Linked DNA regions of Nothobranchius furzeri. The protein of the gene in region 2 interacts with the protein of the main gene of each other region in a biochemical or structural test. Links are inferred from orthologs where the notes say so. Each region holds a gene or a part of one and is shown on either strand. Other genes may lie near its edges.

Region 1 (4,282 bases), on a different chromosome or scaffold from region 2:
ACATCATTAAAATAATCCCAAAATGATGAAAAATGCTACTTTTAAGCTGCACACTACCTGGATGCTTCTTATTTGGCAGTGCCTGAGCGTAAACCTAGAGGAGAAAATCCAAAGTTATTGTTTTAATAAAGGCAGCCTTGTTCTTCTTCTTCTTGTAGGACCTGATTATGAGAAAACAAACTTTGCTCAACTCACCTTAAAACAGGAAACAAAAGTTGTAAAAAGCAGAATTTTCAAACAAAATTCCATACTTTAGAGAACTTTAGAGAACTTTACCATGAGTGTTTTAATTTCAAAATGGTTTGATTCCCCAGAAAAAGATGAATCCATAGGGGGATGGGCATTGATGCGAGACGATCTGATTATTCAGGGCATCCAAAGTCAAAAACATTACAGTAAAAGTCTAAAATCGCATTAAAACTGTTCAGAGATCTGATGAGATGCAGGAACGCTTGAAAAGTTTTCCCGTCATAGCTGATTCGTCTATCTTTAACTTCCACGCGTAGAGTTTTAATCCTCAGCCTCACACAGCTGCTTCTTGGGAGTTTCTGTGGCTGATTCTGGAAACCAGAGAGGAGCTCAGAGGAGGCTGGTGCTGGACGCAACGTGGGAATTACAGAGCGTGATGTCACTTTTTGGACCATCTTAAGGAGGGGTGTTCACTTTGTGCGTAAATGGCACGGTGTGTGCGTAATTGTAGATTTCGCGGGGAATTAATAAGATCAGGTTTTATCCAAATAAACACGTGAGACTCCAATGCAACCATGATGCCTCCTCATTTGTTTGGGGTTTGAGTTAAACTGCGGGACACTACGCAGAACATGTGGGTGTGGTCTTTTTCTAATCGGCCCAAATCCCAGATATAGATTACAGCACGCTGACCAATTTGGGGGCTGACAATTAACCCCCCCCCCCCCCCACACACACACACACACCACCACCACCACCAAGGAAATAAATAAACAAGTACTGATAAGTGAATACTGTCATCATAAATGTGAAATCTGAATTTTATCGCTTTAATGTTGTGAAACTTCTCAGATCAGCTGGACACCAGTCCATTGGGCTCCAGCGGGCTTCCAAAGAGAGAATGGATAAGTAAACAGCGCCCCCATGTGGCCAGGTAAATGAGAACAGCTTGTGTGGCAATTCAATCCGATCCCCGTTATTATTTATTCATTAAACCTTCTCGTGTGACCTACAGGTGCGCCAGGGTTTCCTCGGGTAGGCGATAGGACTCGAGTAGCAACAGAAAGGTGACTCTTTAAACGTCATGTTATCATATATGCCGGTTTATGGAGACATTAAACGTATTTCCACCGCGCGCGCGTGCGTGTGTGTGTGTGTGTGTGTGTGTGTGTGTGTGTGTGTGTGTGTGTGTGTGTGTTGTGGTGGGCGTATCCTCGTCGAGGCGCAGTTGATGATCCTACGCAGAGTGAAATCAGTTTATGGGATCTTTTATTGATAATGTATATATTTAGACGAACAGATAATTGGAGTTTCGCGTTAAAACTCTGAGAAACGAGGACAACTTCCTTCTTTTCTTTCCTTTTCTTTCTGGGACTGTTTCCAGCATCAGCTGATCTCACACACCGTCTGATCGTCGGTCCTCGGTGCGCTGCGTTAGTATGACGGGGTGGATGATTTCTTAACACTTCCTGAGCGGGAGACCGGGGGGATGAAGGACAGACTGGCTGAGCTGACTGCTGTAAGTCTATCACAGAAGTCAGACACATAAAAACGTCACTTAAAACACAAAAAGTGCTATTTTTGCGCAGAGTAAGACGCAAACTGAGGAAGAGGTTGCTGCAGCGGTGGATTGCGGGGATGGCTTCATGGACGGCTACTTCAGGAGGGTGGGTATGGCTGTAAACTCTTTAATAACCTAGACATGAATGACTTATGAAGTTATGATGTAGGTAGAGGAGGTCAGAGGACTCATCGATAAGATCTCCCACCAAGTAGAAGAGGTGAGGAAGATGCACAGCATGATCCTGTCTGCACCCAACCCAACTGATGGTAAGAATCAGATCATGGTGCTTTTATTCAAGTTCTTTATATTACTTTTATGTTTGAAGTGACAGAGTCAAACTGTCTGTGCAGAATTAGAAACAATAGATGCCTCATTTCCTCAGAAGCTCTCAGGCTGGAAACCTGCAGGAAACCACCCAAAACCTCAGAGACTTTAAACGTTTGAGTCTGGATTGGACTGGATACCTTTGAGAGAGTATTATTCAAAGTTTTAAAATGCTTTGACGCTAAATTGAGAACATATAAAGCAACAGTGAGGCATCATTTCCTGGCCCCTCTCTGCCTTAGGAGCTGAGTCCTCCAAGACAAATAAACCACAAATCACAACACCGCAGCATCATCTGTAACTGTTTACCAAAGCAACAAAGGCCTTCTGACCGCTGCTTTATTGCCTCAGTTTTGTTGCTAGGTGCCAACATGAAATCCCAGTAAATCCAATATTTACAGAAGAACTCATTAGGTAAATTACTTCTTCTGTGTAAAGGCAAACTGACGTGAACTTTATTTCTATTTGAAGGTACAAAAGATCAGCTGAGTGCACTGACCAGTAATATCAAAGGGAATGCCAATGTGGTGCGGGCAAAACTAAAATGTGAGTTTAGGACAAACGTTCATGTTGTCATAATCTGGTAATGCTGTAATCATAGCTCTTTTCCTCCTGTGAAGCCATGGAGCAAAGCATGCCAAAGGACGATGCTGCCAACAGGTCATCTGTCGACTTCAGGATCCAGAATACCCAGGTAGGTTTTCGCTCTTGTACACAAGTGTTGCTTCTGAAGTGCCTGCAGCACATTCTCAGACTCTGCTGCCATGTTTCCACTTGTCTTCAGCACACTGTGCTATCAAGGAAGTTTGTGGAGGTGATGACTCAGTATAATGAGACTCAAGTGTCCTTTCGGGAACGGAGCAAAGGACGGATTCAGAGACAACTGGAGATAAGTGAGTCCTGCAAGGATCTGATACCTCTGAGTTGAATCTAGAAGTACATTAAAGGTACAATAAGTAGTAGAAGAAGAAGAAGAAAATATCATTAGGAATTTTTAAGGAATTCTACAGTGAAATAATCTCAAAACAGTCTGATGTCTCAACCAGGTTATGGTTAAACACGTTTCCTACTCAGCGGCTTGGAGGGGTTGTTAGTTTTTCTTCTTTCAAAGGGCCAAAGAGGGACGTAGTTACTGTTTACAATATGTGTGTACAGCGTTTCCCATTCTGTGCCAGCTAACGCTGCAGCGCCAGCATTTGTGATTTGACAGCAGCATTTTGTAAATATCTTAAGCCAGCAACCGGAGTGACCCAGAACTTATTTCTTGTACCCCTAAGAAGTGTTTTCTTTTGATCTAATATCAGGTGAAGCAGTCCAGAGGCTAATGTTGAGCTAACCATGCTGACAGTGAATTAGAACAAATTAGCCAGCTCTAACAACATCTCAAGATACTTAATTCAGTTACCAACAACTTGATATTACAGCAAAAATATTTATCTACTTTCTGTGTATGACTCGTCATCTAGAATCTTCTGGTGCTGAGCCGTAGCTCGCTACAGCCATGAAACTCACAGAACGGGAGTGAGAAAGTCCCTCTTGTGTTTGTAAAATGGGCTGCAGTAACCACGTTTGACCACAAGATGCTGTTCTTACTTCAGTCTTACTTCACACACATTCAAAGGTCTTATGTTGCCTTTCATGTTAGAGATTTGAACTACAATTATTAAGAAATGACAAAATTATAACGTTTTGCTTAAACCACATGCAATCTCTTTCAAACTCCAGAGAGAGTGACATGAACGACTCTCAGCTACATTCACATCAAATGTTAGCTCAACATCCGGGAAGCTGACAGAGTGAAGGTGATGTATACTTCTCCATCATCTCGAGTGTGGAGGCACACACACACTTTGATGGAGGTGTTTTCCCTTCAGACTTCTCTGCCACCTGGGAGAGTTGCATAGCAATTCCCCTTCAGGACAGCAGAGGGCATAGCGCTTTTCTGGGGTATCCTGCCACCATCTCGGTCATGCGCCCATTTCAAAATAGTGTATCTACTAATGTGTTCATGGGTTTCAGAGACTTTTTAACATGGATAAATCTGTCCCTCGTTCTCCTCCACCTGCTCATGCAATCCGTCCAAAAAAAAATGTTTGCTGCGTATCTTTGTACTCCTTTAATGAATGTTCATACTTTTGGACGTTTTCCACGAAGCTTTCTTCAATGTCTGCAGCTAAATAACTTTTTAGGTTGAGGGGGCAATGG
Region 2 (4,370 bases):
ACGATTACTTGAGTCATCAGAGAAGGAAAAAGAAAGCTGAAGGTTGAAATAAAGAAATCAGCCTTGAGACAGAATAAAAGATATTTTGATAATTTATACTTGTTAAATGTTTAACGGGAGTTTACTCTGGTTTAAAAAGAGAAATGATCAAAATCCTAAGCATTACTGAGTGACAAATCAATAAAAGCATGATTGTTTATACAGATGTAGATGCTGTGGGGTTAGGTGTGTAACAATGTTTTGTATTTACCCTGTAAATAGTAAAGCACATCCATGAACCAAAGAAACATAATATAAATGTTTTCATCACTAATTGGACTGAATTTGAACATCAGACGGTGTTTTTCTGACATGAACTCCATTAAAAGCGAACGCTAAACAAGACACAGCCATGTAAACAAAACATGAATAAAGGCCACATCTGATGTGACTTAAGCTGTGTGTATTATTCTGATATTAGTAGCCTCACATGTTTATACTTTACTCCCACTATTACGCCCTACTGCAGCTCTGGTGGCTTCTGACGGCACAAAGTAAAGCTTAAAGCAGTCAGGGCCGAACAGGGAGATGTGTGAGTGAAGAAGAAACTCAAACTGTAAGAAGTTGTTTCCTTAATGTGTTAAACTCCACAGAGACACAATGTCAGGCCTGATTAATGTCGCTGATCAGATTTTGTAAACAAATATGAATAAATAAATCATGTGCAGGTCGTAAAATTTTGACAATGTGATTATTTTCCTTTCTAAAATGAGGTTGTTTTTCCACATTACTGCTGTGCAGCGTCGCTCTTGGTGGCTCCCAAAGTAATAAGTTAATTATTAATGACTTCTGCTCGGTTTGTTTAACTTTGCACACCAGTTTGGGTTATTTTCAGCATTCTGAGCTTTTAATTTCATCAGTTATTCTTTTTGTTTACCCGTTTTCTTCTGTTTTAGAAACAACGACACTAGGAAGTGGAGAAAATGTCCAACATGCATGAGTCTAAATGTTAATTATGCAATCTCAGCTAAACCCATTTAGGCTGGACACTTACGCCAGTTTGGTGACTCAACATGTAGCTGCTGAGCAAATCAGGATAACCGTAACCACTGGCTGACAGCTCAGAGCAGGCTCTGTCCAGATCTGAATTTAAACGCCACCGTCATCAAAAGCTGGTGACTACAGCAGGAACCGTCAACGTCCGGACGTTTCGCACCCTGAATTTAGTTTTCATCTAACAAAAACATGAACGGACTTCATAAAGTCTGAGCAAACATGGAGGATGAAGACAGATGATTAGCATTAGGTGATAGGTGTTGTGTCACTGAGGCCAGGCCCAGAAATGGTATTAATAACTTGGATCACAACAAGAAAAATGACAACAGTTTAAAAGAGACTATCTTTAAGGCTGGAGTGACACATCTGGTGTAGCAGCAGCCTTAAACAGACTTTTTCACATGACACGAGAGCTAGTTTGTCACAGGAAAAGGCTCAAGCCTCTGCTCTCTGACACAGGCATAAACACGGCCCGTTTTTTTATTCCCACCCAAACGTTTTTGATAACATAGAGGAAGTAAAGCTCTATCCGCTTTTCTGTTTCTGCTCTTGTCAGACCGCTTTCCTTTATAGTTCAAGTGACATTTTCCTGTTTTGCAAACGGCCTCTGGACTTCAAGATTCCCTGTTAAAAGCAGGAAAAAAAATGAGACGGAAAAAGTATAGTCTACTTGGCAGATAGTTCGGGGGATTTAATGTTGTTGACTCTGCATTTTTTGTTTTCTTTTTTTATTAGACCACAGCGCAGAAGGTTCACACAACTCGTGACAGTTTTTTTTCTTTCTTCCCAGAGCACTGGTGTGACTTTACAACTCCAACACTAAATTTATTTACACGTACAATACACAAGAGCTGTAAACAACAGAAATGTAACCGGTCAATAGGGTCAGTTTGAGCTGATTGTAAGTTTAGAGACGCACCCCAAAATCAAATCAGTTGATTGGCCGTTGATCTGAAATTTGAAAGATGTATTCTGTAAAATGGGGTTAATTGCAAACTGCCAAAATTTGTATCAGCAGGTCAGAGCTGCATTATCAAAAAATTAAACAAAGCAAATATGGATGATTCTCTAATGATGTTACCCTTTAAATAAATGTGGTCATTTGTCTGCATTCCTATAAATTAATTTAAAACCAGTGAATTTAGAGCACCCCGTAGACCTGCTTGTGCTGTAAATCCAATCAATGAACATTTTCTAGTTGTAACACATTTTAACAGTGATTCTGTGTTTGTTGGCGTTCTAAATAACATTAACTTTTCATGCTCAGTTAGTCAGGAATTAGAAGAAAGTTCAGGTAAAAATGCTTCAGGTGTAGGAAAATTCAAATGATAACGTCCAGCTGATGTATTGCGTACGTTATTGATCGCCATGTTCGTGAAAACTCAGACTCGTGTGTAGATATTGCATAACTCCTTTTAGGGAACTGGTTAAGCACACATCAAGCAGGTATGCTGGATTTATAAAATACTTAATCTAATTAAGTTTTTAATATAATCTAGTTTTAGTGAGGACTATAATATAGACATGAAAATAACCCAGAGACCTGAATTAACAGGCGCACATGTAAAGGTTTATGCAGAAGTTTTAGGGACATACCTGCTCATGTTGTAGACTCCTCACAGCAACAACAGAAAGTGACAAACAACAGAGAAAAGCGTTTCTGGTTATTCTACTCAAACCTGTTCCTCCAGATCTAAACTAATGCTGAACAAAGTGACGTCTTTTCTTATTCTCATCACGTTCACCTCGTATTTTTTATTGCCTTTTTTTTACTCTCTGGTCAACTTTATGCTTACCTTTATAAGAAAACCTTACAAGAAATTTGTTTAATTTGTTTTTATTTCAATAGGTAAATAAACCGAGAACCAGTGTTCAAAAACAAGCTGACCAATGACATCATGGTGTATTTCCATTGCCTGAACCATGACCTTTTATTTCCAGATTTATAGATGACGCTAATAATCCAAAAGTATCAAAACACTGAGTGTGAACTTGACAGCTGGCTATTTATTTCCGCAATATTTAAAATAGGAGCTACTTTGTTTCCACTCCTTTGCCATGACAAAAGGTTATGTCGAAAAGAGCAATACAAAAGTCAAATATTGTAAAACAGTGCACTCACATGACAAGAAAGTATCACCTGAGAAACAGGTGATGTTCAGCTGAAAGAGACATATTAACCAAAACACCTGAGCCTGAAAATAACACACCCACGTTAGCAAAAGTTATGCCCTTAACAATAATCAAAACGTCATAAATAAGTTTAAACAGAGGAAAAATAAAACTTTATGAAGTTTTCTTACATTGTCCAAAAAGTTGCAGTAGCTCCCCAGCTCTAATAAAGGAAATAGATCCTCTGGGCAACTTGTTCACCTAGCTAACGTGCTGTTAGCTTGCTAGTTTTGTTAGTTCCGCTTCCCTGTCAACCCCCTAACGACAACACCCAAACTTTGATGGGAGGACAACGTTAAGAGATACTTATCAGGTCTGTTAATACTTACTGTTAACCTTCCTTGTGAAAAGACCGAACTCGCAACTCCTCCTTTCGCCACGGTATGTAAACTTGGCACTGGTTTGACCAGAATTCCTCCACTGAGTTCGTCGTCTGGGGACTTGAAAGTATGTCGGTTGGTGCATTCATGTACCCTCGGAAATATAGCTTTCTTCAAGGTGAGACGCTTCAGAAGTTCTTAAAAGTAATAAAAACACGTTTAAAATAGTTCAGAAGCTAACTGTGATAATTATAAATCTTTTTTGCGTTCAAAAATTTCACATTATTTTCACTACATCAAAATTCAGTCATATTTGTTTTTTAATAGCTTGTTTATATCTGAAGGTATTTAGTTTTAGCTCTTTAAAAAGAGGAATGAAAATCATATTAAATTCGTTTATTTATAGGAACAAACACTGTATTTAACCAGACTGTGTAAAACTTTTGGTAGTTATGTTTCTTGTGCTTTGGGTGATCTAAAACCAAAACGACGAGTACTTGAATGCAGCACAGGATGGTGCTGTCATAGGACTCCAGAGAGGAGAAAAAAAGAGCACTGCTCAAGTTCCCCACATGAGTGCAGCATTTACCCTTCACCCAGACCCCCCCCCCCCCCCATATTTTACATGAAGACAGAACGCCAGATACATTTTTCTCCATAGAGCTTCTAAGCGATGCTCTGAAATCTGAGCCTCTAGCAATGAATCTGCTGTGTAATTCCCAAGCTTTACGCTTTAAACCACAAAAGCCTTTTCAAGGTGACTCCAAAGATACTAGGCAATGAGCCAACCAACATATCAGCTGACAGTGTCTAAAAGGCAAGTGTTTCTATCTCCGTTTCCAA

Evidence for each region.
Region 1: the proteins of synaptosomal-associated protein 23 (region 2) and stx2b form a complex in vitro, tested with the Homo sapiens proteins (2 studies listed by BioGRID). The link is inferred for Nothobranchius furzeri from reciprocal best matches to the Homo sapiens genes SNAP23 and STX2.

The regions. Positions count from the first base shown.
Region 1 is NC_091757.1:34,784,500-34,788,781, forward strand, and holds the start of stx2b (syntaxin-2), read left to right. Parts: upstream 1-1,416; 5' UTR 1,417-1,678; coding exon 1,679-1,708; intron 1,709-1,778; coding exon 1,779-1,856; intron 1,857-1,919; coding exon 1,920-2,019; intron 2,020-2,548; coding exon 2,549-2,623; intron 2,624-2,697; coding exon 2,698-2,771; intron 2,772-2,861; coding exon 2,862-2,970; intron 2,971-4,282. Other genes in the region: adgrd1 (adhesion G-protein coupled receptor D1), read right to left, coding at 58-94, 196-249.
Region 2 is NC_091758.1:23,385,981-23,390,350, reverse strand, and holds the start of synaptosomal-associated protein 23, read right to left. Parts: upstream 2,859-4,370; 5' UTR 2,640-2,858; coding exon 2,632-2,639; intron 1-2,631. UniProt on the Homo sapiens protein: Essential component of the high affinity receptor for the general membrane fusion machinery and an important regulator of transport vesicle docking and fusion.